Schizosaccharomyces pombe: one gene and its partner. The protein of the gene in region 2 binds, or shares a complex with, the protein of the main gene of each other region. Each region holds a gene or a part of one and is shown on either strand. Other genes may lie near its edges.

What was found. Proteins that work in one complex are often made in the same cells at the same time.
Region 1: cbc1 (region 2) and cbc2 share a complex: the UniProt entries of both Schizosaccharomyces pombe proteins name them as parts of the nuclear cap-binding complex.

The regions. Positions count from the first base shown.
Region 1 is NC_003423.3:3,397,712-3,401,624, reverse strand, and holds cbc2 (nuclear cap-binding complex large subunit), read left to right. Parts: upstream 1-1,526; 5' UTR 1,527-1,551; coding exon 1,552-1,761; exon of another isoform or gene 1,762-1,869; coding exon 1,870-2,077; exon of another isoform or gene 2,078-2,158; coding exon 2,159-2,289; 3' UTR 2,290-2,505; coding exon of another isoform or gene 2,506-3,708; 3' UTR 3,709-3,731; downstream 3,732-3,913. Other genes in the region: nucleoporin, WD repeat Nup82, read right to left, coding at 1-1,007; mitochondrial [2Fe-2S] cluster assembly NADPH-ferredoxin reductase Arh1, read right to left, coding at 2,506-3,708, 3,791-3,913. UniProt on the Schizosaccharomyces pombe protein: Component of the CBC complex, which binds co-transcriptionally to the 5' cap of pre-mRNAs and is involved in maturation, export and degradation of nuclear mRNAs.
Region 2 is NC_003424.3:3,226,379-3,230,575, reverse strand, and holds the start of cbc1 (nuclear cap-binding complex large subunit), read right to left. Parts: upstream 2,067-4,197; 5' UTR 2,044-2,066; coding exon 1,793-2,043; exon of another isoform or gene 1,744-1,792; coding exon 1-1,743. Other genes in the region: tda3 (FAD-dependent amino acid oxidase), read right to left, coding at 2,384-3,120, 3,193-3,534, 3,596-3,647. UniProt on the Schizosaccharomyces pombe protein: Component of the CBC complex, which binds cotranscriptionally to the 5'-cap of pre-mRNAs and is involved in maturation, export and degradation of nuclear mRNAs.

The sequences.
Region 1 (3,913 bases), on a different chromosome or scaffold from region 2:
ATAAATGAAAAATCATCTGGTCTACGAACAGATACATAATCAGATGAATCAAAAAGTTCAGAGCTACCTTCGGATATAACAAATGAGGTACTTAAATCGTTTGCAAGTGCTGCTTCGCCTAATAGTTTAGTAATCCAATGAACATTTCTACGATGATTTTCCGCATCAGCATCGTCCTCTTTTTTAGTTAAAATTAATCTAATTTGTTTCAAAACGTCTTGGGGTATCATTGCATTTGCTGGCATTACCGGGCAAACGCTAAAAACATCTCCTCCTCGGGTCAGAATATAAATTGTAAATACCCCCCACCCTTGAGAAACATTGCTAAAGCAAAAAGCGGTCGGTATATGCAAATCTACATCGGCATCAAATGAATTGGAAGCCTGATGCGTCAATTTAAGAGGAATCTCATAATCGGGCATTAACACTCCATTTCCAGCCTCATAAAGCAAGAGTGAAGTTTCAGTTAATACAACCAAAGATCTTCCGGACTTCCCCAGTGGGTGAAATCGAACGGAGACAATTTGAGAAGAAGGATTAATAACTGCAACCGAACAAATGGTAACCTCCGATAATTTTAATGAGTTAGTCCCGTTTTCCTGGTGTTCTGAATTTGAAAAATTGTTAACAGATTCACCAAAGTTTGAAACGGACTCTGCAAGTGGATTTTGTTCAGATAACTTTGATCTCAAACCCAGTATAACAATTTTTGATTTTCCTACCACTGCTAGAAATCGGCCATTTTTACTAAGGCAAATCTGTTCAATCATAAAGTCTAATTCTGGATTAAAAAGTTTTTTGTAAAAATTCTTATGAGATGCTTCATTTTTATGTTTTAAGAGTCGACAATCCAAGCTTCTGACTTCTTGCCCCACAGCAACGTACAGAAACGACTCAAACGCGCAAAGATGCTTGGGAAAAATTTCCCAATCCTCAGGAATAGGTTTAATCCATCGTAGGGCAGGATGCTTTTCCAAAATGTCTGTCCATGATACCTCTTGAGACATGATGGTTGATGCCATTTTGTTAGTCTTCTGCGAGTATTAAATAAGGAGGAAGAATGCGTCGCTAAATAAATGTAAAAAGTAATACATGTGTACTTTGAATATTAGAATATACCATAATTATTTGTACCTAGCTTGTTATAGGTAAATTAAAAGAACCAGATCTTTGGAGCCTTTTCCTCTTTCTAGCGAAATGCAGCATATGGTGTAATAGTGCTTGAATGCTACTTCTTTTAAAAACATTTAAATGATTTTAGTTTGCGAATAACAGGTATACAAATTCTATACATCAATTACATTATAAGCATTAAGTTTCCTAATATTTAACAGTTTTACTTCATTTAAGATAAAGCAATAAGTTAGCTAGCATAGTTCATTCAAAAAAGCGATTTCCTTAATTCAAATTCTCTTAAAGAACAAATGTAATTTTAAAACCAATTATTATAAGGGTTGGAATTAGCTACATTTACACGATGATTTTTTTACTTTGTAAATGCATAGTACACTATAAAGTTAGACTTCAACCTACAACCACTGCCTAGGAAAAATGGCATCAATAACAAGGTTAGATGCTGTTTCTCCGTATCTCATACGGAGGTTTAAAAACGATTTACGTGCTTTAGATGCTGTGAAACAAAGTAACTGTGTTTATGTTGGCAACCTTTCATTCTATACCACCGAGGAGCAAATTTATGCTTTATTTTCCAAATGTGGTGAGATTCGACGAATTATCATGGGCGTAGATAGATTTACAAAGGTAAGTTTTCATAAAATTCTGTTTATTTGCTCTTCAAGTTCATTACTTTCAAAGTTGTCTTGGAATGCAATCATAGATGCCCGACTTGTACTAATCAAATATTACCAGACACCATGTGGGTTTTGTTTTGTTGAATATTTTGAAAATCAAGATGCTTTAGATAGCTTAAAATACATTTCAAGAACATCATTGGATGAAAGAATTATTCGTGCAGATTTGGATCATGGTTACGAAGAAGGTCGTCAATATGGCAGAGGTGCATCCGGAGGCCAAGTCAGAGATGAAATGCGGGAAGAATTTGATCCTGGACGTGGTGGTATGTAGTCGGATTCTAAAAGAAGCGATATTTAATCAATACAGTCTCTGCAAACTTAATAACATACTAACTTGACTTTAGGATATGCAAAAAATAGGCAACCAACCAGCTCTAGACAGCTTGCAAACTATTCTGGAATTTCTTCTGCTCCTTTAGGATCTTCTCTAGAACTTCAAAGTAATCCAAGATACAATCGTTGGAAAAAAAATTAAAAAGTTAGTTATATAATTCGGACTTTAACGAGGTATTGGAAGATTCACAGGCACTTCTTACTATTTATTCCGGAATTTTTAGAGTTGGTCCATTTTAAAATGCTTTACAAAGAAATCTGTAAGACCAGCTTGCGATATATTTTTTTGGCATAAGACTTATTTCATTATACAAACCAATATTCAAGTTACAAATGATTTAATTAAACTATGCAGTATCTATTTTTTACCGGGATATATTAGTTTAATCATATCTTCATTCGACCTGAATTTTTCACTGAGAGACTCATGCCTAAGACCTCTTTCAATTTCTGCATTTCGAATTACCTTCCAATCTTTCCAGTGAATTACAGGTGTTTTAATGTTCTTTTTTAAGCCATCCCATCCTAGCTTACTATTTTTGAGAAATTCCTTTTTGGATTTCCAATCCTTAGTTATTGTATCCGCTGTAGCAAATGCATCCATCATGGTCGTAGCAATGACTCCAATTGGCCCATGTTTCACCCATCCACTAGTGTAAATGCCAGGACGAACAAATCCGTTAACATTTTTTACAATTCCTTTTGCATCGTCGAATGGAACGCCAACGTCTTTCATTCCAGGCAAGGGCATACTTTTATACCCTATACTTCGGATAAACAACTGTGCGGGTATGGTTGTAAATTTTGACTCAGCATCTGTTCTTATGCTATCTGTAATCTGAAAGCGAACATTTTCAACATTTCCCTTATGTCCTAGAATCTCAACAGGTGTTAAGCCAAATTCCAAATTCCAACATTTCTTGTCTTTTGAATAAGGGGCTACTCGTTTCTCTGAAACAGCTTTCTGGATTTCGGAAACTAATAGCTTTAACAATCTCTTTCTAGGTCTATCCAAACCGCTTGCATCTGTTTCATTCATCCACTTTGTAGAATAATTAAAGGAAGGAGCAAAGAAAACTGCACTTGATAGGGCAAACAGTTCTCTCAATTCTTTGATAGTAAACGAGACAGAAAATATGTTTCTTCTTCCTACAATGTGTAATCTTTTTAAATTGCTTCTTTCAAGTGATTTGAGGAACAATGGATTAATGTCAGTTGGGGATAATTGAGCAGGATTACTTAAAAGGATTCGAGCTACATCAAGTGAAACATTACCATGTCCAATAACTACTGCATCCTCTACCTGACTTAAATCCAACTCAAGATTTTGATTTCTGGGATCACTGTTATACCAACCCACCACTTCTCGCGCACTATAAACACCTGACAAGTCCTCCCCTGGAATTCCCAGTCTCTTGTCCCCAGCAGCTCCATAGGCAAGGACCAAACAATCATAATTTTTAGTCAAATCCCGTAAAGAAACATCAGTCCCAACGTTTACGTTACCAAGGAAGCGAAATTGTGTAGACTCAGCAATTTCGGAAAACTTGTGTTCTACATGCTACAATAGAGGTTAGCTGTATAATAAATTTAATAAGATCCATTTTTAAACCAATCAATATTTCTTGGCTTAACAGACTTACCTTAACTTCTGGATGATCTGGGGCAACTCCATAACGTACAAGCCCAAATGGAACTGGGCGGGATTCAAACATATCTATTTTGACATTTGGGTCATTTCGTAAGAGTCTGTGGGCTGTGTAAAA
Region 2 (4,197 bases):
GCTAATTTATTAAAAGTGGTGTTAACAAGTGACCACGTATAACTACGAGACCATATAGTCACGTCTTGCTTGATCAACCACTCAATAATAGAGGTAATACTAATTATAGAGTAGTTCAGCATTTTATCTAGCCACATAACTGCGTTGAACGGTTGTAATTTCCAAAATGAAAAAAGTTCATCAACAACCTCTATTTCGGAATCTAATGATTTTCGAGAAAAATGTTTCAATGTATTAAGATGTTTCTCGAACACGTTCAATGCGTGCGAAAACGATCTCGAACCCAAGCTATAAGCACAAGACATAACTAATCGGACAGCAGATGTCTCGGAGTTTTGAATCTCCTCGCTCTGCAAAATAATGTCAAGTTCTTCTAACGGTTTATGTAATCTCAATGCTTCGATAATTTGACTTGACTGTTGATATAGCGGATGAGTCTCATTTTCGTACACGAAATTGGGACCCGACGGTTGTTCGCCAAGCAAACAACGTAACTCTTCAGGGAGTGAGTCAGAAATTCTTGTGTAATAGCTTAAAATAAGTTCCCTAGTAATAGTTTCCCGCATAAAAACTTTTTTTGGATGAAGATCGTCCAGCTCAACGTCAGGAATCCACTCATTCCACTTCCAGTGAAAGTTGAAATTACTAAGGTGATGTGAAAACCAGTCAATAAATCGATCAAGTGTTTGTAAAGGTAAATCAGAAGACATGGTATACATTAGCCGAATGACCCTTCCAAAAGTTGGAGCCAAAATTTTAGGAGCGATACGGCAGCATTCAATCAAAAGCGAATGATAATAGACAGGTTTATACGTAGTATTCTGTGAACCAAGAAGCTCACCCAAAACAGCTTCAACTATGATATCTTCTGCTTTCCAACGTGATTCCGATGGATCTAAATTTGGTAATTCATTTACTGGAGTACCACGAAGAGCAAAAGTTTTGTAGGTAAAATAAACATCTAAATCTGTAAGAACTTGAGCAGCCTCAACTCGGTTAAATTCCAAATGGTTTATAACATCCACACTTATATCACGAAATATGCTGGCTGCAACGTCGGAAGCGTCAGGAGTCGTGCGAATTTCAAAGTTATTAAAAAGCTCAAAAAATCTCTTGAAGGAAGGTAGCTCATTTTGCTGAGGAGTGGGCTGAAACGTCCATTCAGGAATACTTGGGCTAACCGGAACAATATGAACGAAATCAGATTCAAAAAACTTCCAGGGTTGAGATATATAAGGAAAAGTAAAGTCGTTTTCCCGAGATAGAATTAGTTGTTTATAGAGTAAGTCCAATTCCTCCTCTGAAAGATTGTCATGTATTGAAAGGGGATTACTTAGAGTTATCGAAGATTTCCTATGACGAACGTAAATCTCACATTGATCCAGTATCTCATTAGCAAAATCCTTTTTACCGAGATCGTTGTTAGCTGCGATGAAATATGGAAGGTTTATCAAAATTATGCGCAGGAAATTATCTCCCCAGACACTGGGTTTGGTTTCTTTTGAGATAGCGTCAGCCAGTAATGAAAATAGTGGCTTAAGGGTACCTGGTTGAAGTGCAAATGACATGCAAATGAGCATTCGTAGATCGACTTTAGCCTCGTAATAAAGAAAGGAGTTTAAATTCGTAAAATACTGTAAACAAAAATACGCAGCTGCTTTTTCTAAGATTAAAGGAACCCTTAATGAGGCTCTTATAATTAATGTAGCCAAATGAGGTATTTTGACTGGAATGATAAATGCACTAAGGATTAAATTAGTTTTCTGAAGGGACAGTATAAATTATCACTTACGTTGTCTGAATGCAATCTAAGATAGTTGAAATGGTTTCAGGATCATTAGCTTCACGACTAAGAGACATAGCAACATAATTAATGTCATCAGCAGCTACTGAATTTCCTCGAGGATCCGCCAAAAAGGTAATATCCTTTTTTATACGCGCTGCAAGTAGCTCTTGAGAGTTTCCTCTATGGGGACGAAATCCATAATTCTCTCCCTCTCTCGTCCTCTTTCTGGGTCGAGTTGATCCCCGATAAGAAGACATTTTGTGAGGAATGTTAGTGTCTTACTGTTGTTGGCGTATAGCAGAATTGTAAAAACACGAGCAAGTGTTCTCAAGTAACAATCAACTTAGAGGTAACGAATGGTATACTAAGTCGAGATGGAAATTGTAAAACAAAAAAAAAGAAAATCGATTTTCCAATGCGATAAAAACGAAAACCTTAATAAATATGATTAGAAAATTTTACAACACTGTAATATTCTATTTCGGTAAAGGAATAAGCATCCATTCTGCTTCTATATTTTCACCTTTCAGTGAATGAGTCCTTCGTTTTTTTTGACAAACAATTAAAACAAAAATTAGAGGATATAATTTGAAATCCTCATTCACCGAGATTTAAGTGAAAAGGATCTGTGTTTATGCTTGTTTTTTCCTTGCCAAGGAGCATTTCTGCCATACATAAACCCGTGGCAGGAGCTTGAGTTATCCCCCAGTTGGCGTGACCCGCTGCAACAAATACACCAGACTTGGTTGTTGATATTATCGGGATACCTGTTATTCTACTGGTAGGAAGGAACTTAAAAGATGCGTCTAAGTAGTTACTCTTCGTATTCTCCGAGAGCACCAAATCGGTCATTTCTTTCAATTCGATAATTTCAAAAGGATTAAAAAAACATCGATTACTATCTTTTGGCAGCAAATGGAATTTTGGAGTTCCCATAAAAATAAGCTGCTCCCGGTTTTTACTGAAAATTTCGGTTGTTTTGCAAATGTTTAGATTACCCATGGTATTTAAACAACACACAACAATGCTGTCGCCAACGGGAAAATTTCCTACCGATAGGTGAATTATGGGAATGCATAGACCTGCAATACCAGTAAATGGTAATAGATAACCAGTCCAAGGCCCAGCACTCACCAGCGTTTTATGCACCTGTGCTTTTATTATTGTATCTTCAGCTTCTTGTTTTGGAACGTATGTAATATGGTGTTTACTAACCTCTTTCACACTTCCAAATATAAACTTTACTCCTCGTTTTTCTATTTCTTTTGCCATAAATTGACAAAACAATTTTGGATTGATCATTGCAAAATCGTTGCCGGAACCGATACTAGAACCTAAATGGTTAGTCTCTATATGACTTATACAATAAAGTTATTATTTTTTTTTGGTAGCACTTATGAGCTTACATTTTTGCATGCGCTCTCGTTGAAGCCATTGCAAAGTATCGGGAACTTTGGCAACATTGGTATTGTCCCATTTCATCTTACAAAACCAAGAATTGGCAGTCCTATATTCCCAGTTTTTCTTCCCATCAAATTTTTTATCCAATCCTTCATAAAGCTTCAAAGCGAGAGTTGAAAGTGGCTGTATGATTTCATTCTGGCACAGTTTTGTCAAGATTGCAGAATCAATGCCGGAGCTACCTCCTGCTATTTCTTTTGATTCAAATATAAATATGTCCAATTCTCCTTTTTTGTATTCTTGTTCTTCTGTTAAGTAAAACGCCGTACAAATTCCAATAATGCCACCTAAAAATCATCGTCAGCATGCTCACTCATCATTTATGAAACTGTTGTTCTCCAAAATTACCTCCTACTATTCCTATCTTTGTCTTATTTCCTTCTCTACTTGTAGCGCTCATATTTGAAGTTGGAAAGTTGACTTGAAACACAATCATCTTGCTGTAACGCTTCTAAACATTACGTTATCCTCACCAGTATTTCCTTCAATCTCTCTTATTTTTTTACCATTTTGAGAATAAAATAAATAGCAATAATAATAATAACAAAACGGTTCAATATTCAACAGTTTTTGCCATTCAGAATGCCTTTCATAAATTGCTATGGCGAGATATACGATTCTTTCATGAATACCAAACGATTGTAAAAAAGGAAAAAAATTACAAAATACTCCTCCTAATCTATAAAGTCAAGTTCGCATAAACAAACGGATTTTTAAATTTTTGAAATGCCAGATTCACATTCTTCAGATAGTTTACATATTATTTACACATGCCTTAATTAAAATTACTGCAACCAGTTCATTGAGTTGTAATTATATTTTGATTCCAAATAATCTACTGAAAACAGCTGTACAGCTGTATATGCAGAATGGTATTTCCAAAGCATAACAAATATTAGACATTTCACAACAATGATAATTGTTAAGCGATATCATCTTGAAAAGTTTAT